Linked DNA regions of Tribolium castaneum. The protein of the gene in region 1 interacts with the protein of each later gene in a pairwise test. Links are inferred from orthologs where the notes say so. Each region holds a gene or a part of one and is shown on either strand. Other genes may lie near its edges.

The links.
Region 2: the proteins of ubiquitin-conjugating enzyme E2 W (region 1) and E3 ubiquitin-protein ligase MARCHF5 interact in binary tests that used the Homo sapiens proteins (3 or more experiments, as listed by UniProt). The link is inferred for Tribolium castaneum from reciprocal best matches to the Homo sapiens genes UBE2W and MARCHF5.

What each region holds. Positions count from the first base shown.
Region 1 is NC_087394.1:30,472,112-30,478,159, reverse strand, and holds ubiquitin-conjugating enzyme E2 W, read right to left. Parts: upstream 3,394-6,048; 5' UTR 3,236-3,393; intron 3,180-3,235; 5' UTR 3,131-3,179; coding exon 3,107-3,130; intron 3,055-3,106; coding exon 2,963-3,054; intron 2,913-2,962; coding exon 2,810-2,912; intron 2,758-2,809; coding exon 2,602-2,757; intron 2,556-2,601; coding exon 2,480-2,555; intron 2,429-2,479; coding exon 2,415-2,428; 3' UTR 2,214-2,414; downstream 1-2,213. Other genes in the region: NFX1-type zinc finger-containing protein 1, read right to left, coding at 1,519-1,585; putative inositol monophosphatase 3, read left to right, coding at 4,536-5,013, 5,067-5,215, 5,268-5,612. UniProt on the Homo sapiens protein: Accepts ubiquitin from the E1 complex and catalyzes its covalent attachment to other proteins.
Region 2 is NC_087395.1:24,412,458-24,418,959, reverse strand, and holds E3 ubiquitin-protein ligase MARCHF5, read right to left. Parts: upstream 3,952-6,502; 5' UTR 3,713-3,951; coding exon 3,548-3,712; intron 3,503-3,547; coding exon 3,069-3,502; intron 2,875-3,068; coding exon 2,556-2,874; 3' UTR 2,352-2,555; downstream 1-2,351. Other genes in the region: uncharacterized protein C2orf42 homolog, read right to left, coding at 1-337, 384-1,083; 2-aminoethanethiol dioxygenase, read left to right, coding at 1,554-2,249; l(3)07882 (nucleolar protein 14 homolog), read right to left, coding at 4,153-4,252, 4,298-4,453, 4,503-4,993, 5,041-6,502. UniProt on the Homo sapiens protein: Mitochondrial E3 ubiquitin-protein ligase that plays a crucial role in the control of mitochondrial morphology by acting as a positive regulator of mitochondrial fission and as an important regulator of immune response.

The DNA.
Region 1 (6,048 bases):
AACGGTGAATTGATTTTTTTATTATTGTTAACCAGCTTACAATAGAGATACACGCCGAAGACGTGCTCCAAGTAAAACAATATTTAAATTTTAATTGTTGCCTTTATTTTGAAACTTGACATCAAATTTTAATTTCATTTATATTATTGAACATAGATTATTATTAATTTATTAACTGTTAATTAACAATTAAGGCACTGGGTAAAATTGGTACATTGGTAAAGATGATGAAATTGTCGATAAATAAAAACTGATCTGGATAATTTTTCTTTTTTTCTTAGAAGTATTTACCTACTTATAGTATTTTACGACAAAAATTGTTGGGGGTTTCGACAATAGACCATAACTACCTTTTTCTGTAAAAACTTTCCAGAAAACCATTGCTGTAAAAACTATACTTCCAAATACACGTAAAAGATAAAAATTCAGGAACTTTTGTGAGGTAATGATAATTTAAGAACATCCAAATATTGTAATTGATTGATTTCTCGTTAAAAGTTTTTTGTTGTTGTTATTGAATTGAAAACAAATTACAATCATTCCCCTAATCATTTAAAAATCAATAGTAGAAAGCCAGATTAGATTGTTCAAGATAATAAAAATAATTATTTCAACTCTTTATTATTTTTCAAAAACGTACCTATTTTTCCTGTATCTCAAGAACCACTAGTATCACACAAAAATCAGCGTTGATAGAAATTTCAGTTTCTTGTACCTATTAATTAATTAAATAAATCGCTAAACAAGACATTGTTTATTATTTTTAATGATCATTAGAAATAATGAAACAATTTTGTCAACATTCTAAAACTATAAACGATGTTTCAATGTTGTTTTGTGTAAAAAATACATAAAACATTGTCAAAAATTAAGTAGAAATCAAATTTTCTAGCTCACATTTGCCATTTAATTGAAATAAAATTTTAATTCGATTTGACTTTTTGTCATTTTTTTAATGTATTTTGCACAAAAGACATGAAAAAAATCTTTAGGAAGGGATTCTCGAAAGCAAAAGACCAAAATAACTCCATTGGCAGAGGTCTGAGGTATACAACAGATGCCTGACTCCAGGGGAATTCTAATAATAAACATTGATTTAAGTCCTTTTGTTCTTAAGCAGTAATATAAATTTACAGAAATAGTAGCAGTAATATTAACAATAGTACTACATTATTTTATTACAAACAAGCGCCTGGAAATTGCACTACGGGTGAGGATTCAAAAGCTCAGAAGGTTACATAACCAAGAGTCACAACCTCGTAGTTATTAAAATAGTGGAGTCCGAGGGTGTAATAAAATTCCTACCAAAGTTTTTTCTAACAAATACCTATTAAATGGTACCACAGCAAATTGTTATCCGATTAAGCGATGGAATATTTAGTATAGTTATTTCGTCTAAATTAAAATATTTGTTTTCACACAGTGTAATTGGAACTCTTTTTTTATTGTGCCCATTTATAGTCTTTATGATTTATAAAAAGATTCACTTAATACTTATATTGGTTCACATTTTCTTACCTGTGGAATTTCTCCAACTGCTTCCGGCCCCTGCTGGAACTTCAGGTTTTGGTTTTTCGGGATTCATACCAAATTAATAGCAGGTAATAATTAAGTAACAAAGTACAAGGCTCATCAAGACAAAGACAAAGGTAAAATTAATATTGCACGTTGCAACACACTTTATCCAGACAATGACGATGACGTGTTACCAAATTGCATTTGAACCAATGTACTTTTATTCAAACCTTCTTAGCCTTTATGGTTTATATTCACTTCAAAAAAAAACACTACCGCAGCTACTACCAAAAACAAAAGGTAACCCAGAAGAGCCTTTTAGTACATCATCAAAATTTTGTATCTGAGTTCGTGCTTAGATACGTCTTTAAATCGAAAATTTAATTTTGCTGCACCCACATGACACGTAACATACTATTTCGAATGCGCTTTGATAAATGTCAAGTGATTGTCTTCACATATGTGGGTAAATCCCCGACCACGCCTTTAATACCAACCTAACGAAAATTAGGTGCGTGTATGTTGGGTTGCGTTTATTTTCTCCTAATTTTTTTTTCTCATTTATTTATCAGAAACGAGTCCGATAATTAAGGAATCCTTTAAAACAAAGATTTTTCGGTTTTGATTTTGTTAATTGATAGACGTAAAATTTGTACACGGGTAAGAAATAAGCAACAGCCCAGGGCGGGTTTAAAATATTAATTTTAACTCTTATATTTAATTAATTACAACACAACATCTGGAGGACAGGCACTATGTAAAAACTGTTAATCCAATTCTAAAGATATTTTATAATTAGCTTTGTCATAATAAATAACATCTATTAAAAATTTAAAACTAACAGCATCCAGCGTAACAGAATCATTAAAATCACAAGACCATAAGTTATTTATATAGTTTCATACAGAATCATCTGAAACATAAAATAATCAGGAATTGTGGGTTACATTATAGGAGATAATACCGTGATACCACCACTTTGTCTTCTTTGGATTTTTATTGCAAGTTTTTACATAGAAAGCATTATCGGGAGGTCTTTGCTGTAAAACAAGATTAAAAATACTGTAATACTAAATAAGGTCTCACCTTTTCTTTACAACTACTGAGCATAGAAACAATTGAAAGACAAACAGACTGAACAGACAGTGCAGGAGACCAATCATCTGTTAATATGGAAAGGCAAATATGTCCATTGCTGTAAATATGCGGGTGAACTGGAATGTTATTGCCTACAAACGTCACCTGGAACGCAAACAATATAAACACAATACTAGTCTAACAAAAAATCCCATACTTCTGGTGAATCAAAGGGATATTTGTTACTAAATTTAAACTGCAATTGAAAACGTTCTCCTTCGTACAATGTACCTGCAGCCCCTTCCATATTAATGATCCAACTAGAAGTCATGTATTTAGCATTGTTATTGGCAGTTTATTGCTAACTTACTGCAATAAATTTTGCTCTGCCAGATCGAAGTCGACTTCAACTCCTGGTGGAGGTTCTTTCATCAGTGACATGAGCTCCTTTTGCAACCTTCTCTAAATTGAGAGATTTCGTGAAGAGGTTAGAAAAACAATGCAATTTACTTACTTCAGACGGCGACAACCCTGCCATTTTGGAATTAACTTTTCATCATACCACAGATTAGATTGTGAGATTTTAACTGAACACAGATCAACAGACTTTAATTTAGCTTCAAATAAATAGCCAAAAACTTACTTTTGACGTTCAAAACAACCGACCAAATTACCTACTGTCCCCCAATGCTCCTCAATTCACGAACAATGGACAGATAACCATGGTTCCAAAGTAAATAATTCTATTATTCATTCCCGCCAGTGGCGGAGAGACCATGGGGACAAATCGAGGATTTTTTTGCCAGCCTCAACGATTTGTCTTATGTATACACTACTATAGAAAAACCAAGACCCAAGTGCCCTATGGTGAACGCTTTTTTAAAAGATTCATCAAAAGTGTCGAATTTTTTTAATACCACAATTTGACTGATTTGATTTTCCGCTATGTCACAGAAAAGTTATATTTCTATTTTCGGTTTGACAACTCATATAAAAGTTAATGCCAAGAGTACCAAATTTCTACTACAATGGTTTTTATGAAAGTGAACCGAATATAGTTGTCTATTAATAAGGGCTTAATCCTAAATATAAAATAAAACGTTATTAAAAAAAAACTAATTTTGGTTCATTTTCATAAAAAACATTGTGGCGGAATTAACTAAGATTTTACTATGACAACTCATATAAAAGTTAATGCCAAGAGTACCCAATTTCCACCAAAATGTTTTTTTATAAAAATGAACTGAATGTAAAATTTGGTCCGGTAGTACTTGAATTGCAGAGTGTTAAGAAGTTGTTTTTTACTTAATTATTGACCGGAATTAGCAGGAAAGCAAATATATATATTCATTTCAGTTTACAGTAGAATTTTGCAACAGCATTTTTTGATTAAAAGGAGCACAAATTGAGAGTTTTTGGTGGGTTTTCTTAGCTCAAAGTGTGTCGCTGAGATTAAGTTTAACATAGATTTTTTTTCCTAAACAAAAACTCCATGGAGCGCAGCGACATTTGACGTAAGTTGGCTATGATTGTTTTATACAATATTTGATAACCACCCGGTGGATTTCTAAAACAAATGTAAAATTTAAATTGGGAAGCAAATAGTACTGCTTGTGGTAGTGCTTTTATTATTATTATCACAGTTATTATCTGTATTATGAAAAAAATTTCGCACGCCTATGCCTATGCCCTATCCTTGAAAATGACGTTTAGCGTTTGGTGATTTTGTGACTAACTTCACCATTATTGTGGTTGAAGGTTTTTTTGATTATTTGTAAGGTGCAAAAATGCGATGACGTTTGTTTCTAAATAGTCTTAAGATAATTGTTATTCAACTGTAAGACCGGTGGTATTGAATGATATTGGTTGATTAATTGAAAATATTTTAGTAAATAAGTACAAAAAGCGAATGATGTAGATAGAGACTCATCGGCTGCATAACAATGAATCTTGGGGGTGTTATCCGACTAAACAAGACAGGGCTGTGTGTAATATCGGGAGCTGTGCTGATATTGTTTATTTACGTGTTTACTACAAGTTCAAATAATGATCCTCCAAGCGTTAAGATAAATTTAAAGCAGCTCTTGGAGGTAGCAATTAAGGCAGCGGAAAATGGGGGCAAAGAAGTGGTTGCGAACAAGGACAATTTACAAGTAAAAAGCAAAGGGTTGACGAAAGAAGGAATGCAAGATAGGGTCACCACTGCAGATTATTCGTCACACTGTGCTATTATGAAAACTTTGAAACATGCATATCCCACCCTGCATATAATTTCAGAGGAGAAAAAGGTCCAGTGTGACGACAGAGAAATCGATTACTTGGGACATGTAACCATTCCTAAGAGCTTAGATGACCATTTGGAAGAAATTAGGGATATTTCTGTATGGATTGATCCACTAGATGCAACTTATGAATACACTGGTACTGTACTAAATACTTGCATTTTAAGCATTTGTTAAGTGAATCTTTGTTAGGAAAATTGTACAAGTATGTGACTACAATGGTTTGCGTTGCTGTAAAAGAAGAACCTGTTATTGGTGTCATTCACAAACCTTTTAACACTGAATCTCACACATTTTGGGCATGGGTTGGCAAAGCAAAATCTTCAAACTTAAAATATGCGGTAGGTATACAACACTGTCACATGGTGATCAGGTTATAAATTTGTCTTTTAGAGGAGCAAGAGTGAAAATATAAAGATTATAATCTCAATGTCGCACAGCGGTGAAATAAAGAAAGTTTTGAGTGAAAAAATGAAAAATGTGGACATAATTGAAGCCGCCGGTGCTGGCTATAAAGCTTTGGAAGTTGCCTTGGGCAATGTGGACGCTTATTTGCACACAACTGCCATCAAGAAGTGGGATATTTGTGCAGGAAACGCTATAATAAAGGCAGTGGGAGGTAAAATGACAACGAAATTTAACGAATTAATTGATTATAAAGATGATACCAGTGTTAAGAATGAGAAGGGTTTAGTAGTCACTATAACCAACCATGACATGTTCATTGGAAAATTTTAATTGTACATAAGTCTTGAATTTGTTTTAAAGAGTTTTGTTACGTGTGATTAAAAAGTAAATTTTGTAAGGCGTTCAAATGTTTAAATTTTTTAGGAATTTGTTGTTTTTTCAGCGTAGTAGGTACTAAAAAACGGTAAGGAAACATTTTTAGCCCACAAATCTGTTAATGTGTTAAACAATGCACAAGTACATGACCGACATTTTAGGAATAAACCCACTATGACAAAAATTTTGTAAATAGAAAAATTCTAACGCGTCCTATGGTAAAACTCGTAACATTTCGACGCAGTTGATTCAAATTTCAACTTGTTTAAAAAAACACTACAGAAGTAGTGACTGCTACTCGTGACTGATATTCTCATTTTTAAAAATTTGTGCAACTCGGGTGTTTTGGTTTTTTGCTAAAATTTGAAAAATTTTAAAATAGATTTTTGAG
Region 2 (6,502 bases), on another chromosome or scaffold:
CATTCGATAAACCCCCACGAAATTCCCCCACTTGGGGCGACTTGTTCCACACTTTCCAGCACTTTGATTTCAACCGGAAACACATTAGGGACCAGTTTTTTGAATTTTGGACGTTTCGTCACTCGCTCAACCACCTTCAGTTTCGGCACCCTGTCAGGTTTAGGCGTGCTTTTAACACTTTCAACTTGTGGCCCTTCGGAGCCGTTCTCCAATTCGTAATTAATGAAATGACTAAACTCTTGCGCACATTTCGGGTCGCTGGCAAGGGCACAAATGCACGCATAATAGTGCACACATTTGAGTCGGACATTGCTCGCCTTGCTTATAATCCCTGAAACTGGTCCAAAAATCACCGAAACGTCCCACTGACTCGCAAAAGCTACCCATAAATTCGGTACAACTGCAGTAATACTTGTCGTAAATCTCGCGGCCTTTCGTGCACCCGAAGGTAAAGTGGAGGTACCCCAGGGGGTGTTTGGGGCTCACTTGGCACTTGACCGCCATCACGGTCCGCGAGACTCTCTGCACCAGAGGCCCCTCTTTCTCCGTGGCCAACTGCCACAGCTTCGCTTTAATTTCTTTCGAAACCTTCAACGAGGCCAAAACCTCCTTTTGGACCTCAATGGGGGCTGCCATGCTCTGGCTCTTAATCGCCGCGTCGATGTGGACGCACAGCAGCGCGGTCTCGCTGTGCTCCAGCTCATGGCACTTGAGAATCGAGTCGTCGAACAGCCTCTGGCACGAATCAACGAAACACAGGGCGTCCTGTTCGGGGTTCAGCAGCGGCAGCTGGACGAAGCCCCGGTGGTCGGGCCCCCGGTCGCGCACCCGCACCGAGTACACCTGGCGCACGATCCCGACGAGGCGCACGGCGTCCAGACTCAACTTGCGCTTGTCGGCGTAGTCTTTGAACACGGCGTCGCAGTGCTTGTTCTTGCAGATCATGCCCCGGGTGCCGTTGTAGATGCCGCACTTGGGGCATTTTTTTATGCCCCGTTTCGTGGGCCGGCCCAAATCGGCGAAGGGTTTGGCCGGAGAGGAGCACGCAGGGAGGAAGGTGTAAATGGACTGGGTCGCATTCATAGCACTGAGGGGCTATAAATAGACGCAAGCCAAGAAAATTTGGGGCAACGGGCGGGGCCGAAAGCAAACAAAGTCTGGCTTTTTGACAATCATCAATTTATTTATAACACATGTTACAAGTTTATCCTATGGTTTATGTTTTTTTTTTAAATTTGAATTTTTGATTTTGAGAGAGGGCGCTTCGGTCGTTTTGAAATTTAAACATTATTTAAATTACAAAATTATGTACTGACTCGCATAAAAACACAAGCAATTTTTCATTTCTTTATTAAATAACACGCAAGGTTTTTGTAACAACTAATTCTTCGCCCAAAATTTGTGGATCAATATTGTTTTGACAGATCGCATCCTGCGTTTAGCCGCGTCCAGCTGATTTCTGTCACTTTGAATTTCCAATCAATCGATAGCCCCCGTGTTTATTTCCAGTTTTCGCTCCTTAGAACCGTCCAAACATTGTTTCCCTTGACCTGATGCTGATAAAAATGCTAACGAGTCAAATCGGCACTGTTTTGAAACAAGCAGTCACCACCTTCACCAACAAAGAGCTGTTCTTCCAAAACATGGAGATCCTCAAAGCCCTTTTGGACAAAACCACCGCCGAGGACGTGAACCTGCACCCCCAGTTCATGACAGAGGCCCTGTGGCAGCGCCCCAACAAGGCCCCAGTGACCTACATTGACATCTACGAGGATTATAACCTCACAATCGGCATTTTCATTCTCAAACCCGATATGAAGCTGCCCCTGCACAACCACCCCCAGATGCACGGGCTCATTAAGGTGGTCGGGGGGAAACTCAAAGTCACCAGTTACTCGCTAAACACTGAAAAGACGCGGCAAGTGGACGGGAAGGCCCCCCCAGGGTCGAAGTTCCTAACAGCCGAAAAATGCGCCGAGAATTTACTAGAAACCCACAGTGAGTGTTGTGTGCTTGAACCCGAAGTGCGGAATTTACACGAGATTGAGAGTGTGGGGGGCCCAGCGGCGTTCATTGACATTTTGGCGCCCCCTTACGAGACTGTTATTCCGGGGAATGGGGCACGCAAGTGCTCCTATTTCCGGGTCTTGAGGGAGGTGGCCCCCAGTGTGTTCAGAATGCAGGAAATCACCTCGCCTAGTTGGTACTGGACTGACTCGTTTCCCTACACAGGACCGGACTTGTCCTAGCGAAGGGCTTAATCTAATTTCTGTTATCTAGTCTCTTTAGCTTAGGACTTGCCAGTGTATAATTCCGTTCTTGTGATAAGATAACGCATATTAAGTTTAAAATTTGTCTAAAAATGTTTTATTCAACAGAACTGCTTTTTTAATAAATCTGAAGTCTTGGTTACTTGCAAAAATATTTCGTTTAACAAGTGATCGAGTGACCCGTGCCGTCACGGGTCACTTGATCGAAATTTATCAATTCAAGTCAAATAAACAAGGAATGCTCAACTAATTAACCTATAAAAAATATTTGTCCTATTAATTAATTTAATCAGAATTTCTGTTATGATGTAAATAAGTAGAAATATTGGCTTCAGTGTAGTCTAAAATCTTGCGTTGGCATTGCCGGATGTACTGTTGTTGTTTATGATAAATCCTTAAAAATCCCTTAACTGTGATAAAAGTAATTCCACCTAAAATCGTTCGATGAAAATTCGATTTCACTGAACTATAAAATAATTTTCCGAATAAATTCGCTATCGTAGGCATGAGTAAAGCCCCGCATAAAATTCGCGTCGCTGAGACAGGGCTGCTGACTGGAGGCAGGTCATTATCGACCGTTGTATCACTCTGGAGGACATCACCCCTAAAAACATACGCATTTTTTTCTAAACAAAGTGACCTGTGACAAAAAAAATGCCAACACCAATCATTGCCAACTTCATTTCAGTCATAGGCCACCTGATTTTTTTCTAAACGAAGTGACCTGTGACTTTTAAATAAAGTTGGCAACACCGATTATTTATGCATAGGCCACTTGATTAAGTAAAAAATATGCACCTGAACGGCAGTACGTTGTGAATAATGGGGATTTTGGGGCAATGCCGTCTCATGAACTTCAAAACGGCGTCTTCCCAGCAGATCAGGCGCCCCAAAATCAGGGCTACCGGGATAGAGGGAAGCCCCAAAAGGAGCACAAGGGGGTCAGCCTGCTCCATCAAATCAATCCCTTCCTTGTGTCCTATGACCTGCATCACAGTTATGGCCCCATACGTGACCCCCGTCCAGTAAATCGCACTGGCCGCAATCCCCGCTGCGAGAAACAACGAGCCCCGGAAAATAACACCATCTACCGTGTCTAGCAACAAGACAAACAGCCCCATATTCGGGAAGACTATGATATACTCGGTCTGGCATTGGGGGCACACCACTTTGCCCCCATGGCCCGACTTCTCCTTCTCATCGACCCAGCGTTTCAGACACGATTGGTGCACCTGGAAGCGGGGTTAGAGGCGTTTTGCGGGTCAGGGGGCACGTACCCATTTGGTGGTGCCGCGGCATTTGCACGGCTGGACCCACAGTGCGTCCAAGTCTTCGTCTTCGGTGGCAAAGCAGACCCAGCAGCATTTTCGCGAATCGCGCGGTTTGAGCTGGATGGGGGGCGCGGTGTCAGTGGCGCTTTCGAATGAGTCGTGGGGGTCCATGGGGCTTATATGGGGAGAGGCATGTTGAGGAGAGTGGATTTCCAAAATACGAAAATTTAACGAATGTCAAAAAAGTGTCAAAAAGCGGGACAGGTGCGCCAGATTGTGACAGTTAAAGTCACTAAAAGGGGGCTAAAATGAGGCTGGGGGGCACTGACAACGCAATTGGGGCATTTAATCACTTTTGTGCCTGTGGTACCGCAGAATTTGAGGCCCAAATCGTTCCGTTCATTTTTTTTTACTTTAGAGGTAACCTCACTTTTTATATTTAGGGAACCTAATTTGTAATTGGACAAAAATTCAAACATTTTTTTTTTCAATTGGAATGGATAAATGAAACTCAAATGTATATATAGTAATTTTTATTGTTTAAACGAAATAAAAACTCACTTTAAAAAACAATACTTTTATTTACAAAATTCTAAAGGGGGCTAAAAGCCTCACTTGCGTTTCTTCTTCCTGTCTAAACTGTTCAATTCGCTTTGCTGGATCGAAGCTTCGGCATAAATTCGTTTAACTTTTTCCTTGCGCTCATTATCACTACGGAAAATAATGTCATAACTGGAAAATAATTTTTTTGCCTACCTTTGTATGCGTTGATGAATTTTGACACGTCCCAGAAACGCCTTATCTCTCCGTATTTCACGCAATGCACCCTTCGTTTCTTTCTTAAGTTTATGTAACAATTTGTCACGCTCGGCTTTTTCCCTTGATTGAATTTTACGTTTTTTACCATCAAATCTACAATCATCAACTAACGAAAAACAAAAAAAAAATAATGATAACTCACACTTCCACAATTTTAGGTTCATATAAGCGTAGCGCTTTCGGTCGTTTTGCTGCCAAAACAATGTATTCTAATTTTCGCTCAACTTTGCGATTTTTTAATTGTTGTGAAACGCTTTCAAACAAATCGGCGACCTTTTTCGGGTAATTTCGCGTCGGTAGTAACTCCAAATACGCTCGAATATCGTTAAAAATCTCAACATTTGAGGGCAGAGAAACTAGATTATTGTCAAAGTCTTGAACTAGCCTTAAAACAGTATAAATTGCTCTGATTTTGAAAGAATCGTTAATTTCGTCCCTTTCTAAATCAGAAGCTTCCATTTTGAAATCACAATCCTCGCAAGACTTTTCAACAAGAACTAGAGAACTTGTCGTGGGCTTGAAGGGAGGATTGACTTTGATTAGTTTCACCCCACACTTGGGGATCGCCATATGCAAGATCCCTCCGAGATAATTAATCGCAGTCGGTAAAACCCGCTTCGATAGTGAAGTATACTAAAAATCGGTGGTTTAAACACAGTCCCACCAACCCAAAAACTCACCTCTAGAACCAAAGTCACTAAAAAAATCCCGTACGCGATATCTTTGCCACTTTTTATTTTACACTTATTCAAAATTTGTTCAATAAAAACAAAACACGGGGTCACAACCTGATGCCGAAAATCGGACGTTGTGAACAACAAACTGACCAGCTTGAAAAAAACCAACAACTCCAAGCCGGGAAAATCCTTCGGTCGTTTTTTAAACTCGTCGTGTTTTTCCTTAATCACTTCAAGCATCGAACTGTGGGTATTTTCTTTATTTAGCTGAGCCAAATCAAAAATGTGCGGAGCCAAACTTTTGTAAATTTCGAACAAACGGGCAGCGCTTTTTTCCGACGCACAATCGTTCAAATACTGCAATAAATAGACAAACAGTGTGCCAAGTCCGTTTTTGTTTTTTTCGGCGAGACTTGGGTGATTGCACTTGACCATTCTTTCAAGAATCGTGGCTTGTTGGCGACTCGATTTGTCGTCGAGGAGTTGCTGGAGGGCCTCGTAGGAGTCAGGCAGTGCGAACGTGAACGGCAGGTCGGCCGACGTTTCGTCGGTTTTTGCAACAACATCAGTCTTTGTGGCCTTGGCTTCGGTTTCCTCGTCACTTTCGTCGCTCGTTTCGGCCTTAAGATCGGCCAAATCATCATCGGACTGTTCTTCCTCCTCTTCTTCACACTCTTCTTCTTCGTCACTTTCTTCCCCACCAACAGTTTTCCCGTTTATCTCAGCCCCAATTTCCACATTTGCCTCCCCCTCCGTGTTGTAGCTGAGCATGTACTCAGGATCCGCCTCGTAAACATCATCGTCTAAATCGTCAGCACTGCGGTGCTTCTGAGTCTTGGGCTCAAACCCCCGCATTCGCTCCCGCCGCTTCTCCTCCAACTCCTCCAACCGCTGTTTTTCCTCCTGAGCCACCTCGTCCTCACTCTTCAACCGGTCGGAGACCGTCCCGCGCGCCTCAAACCTCAACTCACGCATGACCTTATCGTAGTCGTCGACGGCCCCCTTGTCGGGCTCCCCCTTCTGGGCCCTGCTCACCAGCGGCAGCAAGTCCTTCCACTCCGTGTCCAATTTCTCAGTGAGCTCGAGCGTCGCCTCCTTGGTGCGTTGCTTCTCAGCTTTGCGTTTCTTCGACTCGGCAATCAACTCGTCGATCAGTTCTCGGTGCGTCTTCGCCCCTTCTTTGCCCGTTTTGCGCAAAACGCCGCCCCCGAAGTGCGCGTCCCCCACAAACGCTGAGTCCAGCTTACCCGACTTGTCCTCATCCGAGTCCTCGTTATCCGACCTCGGGTCGTCGAATTTCTCTATTTCGGCAAGAGTTTGCCCCTTGTGGGTCAGAACTTCGTCGTCGGCCAGGTTAAAAATCGACTTTTTGTGCGCTTTTTTCCGAAGGGCGGTGAACCGGGCCATCAGCTTGTCTTCAGAGGTCAGGTCGCGGCTCCGCTCGCCGATCCTCCGGTCCGTAAAC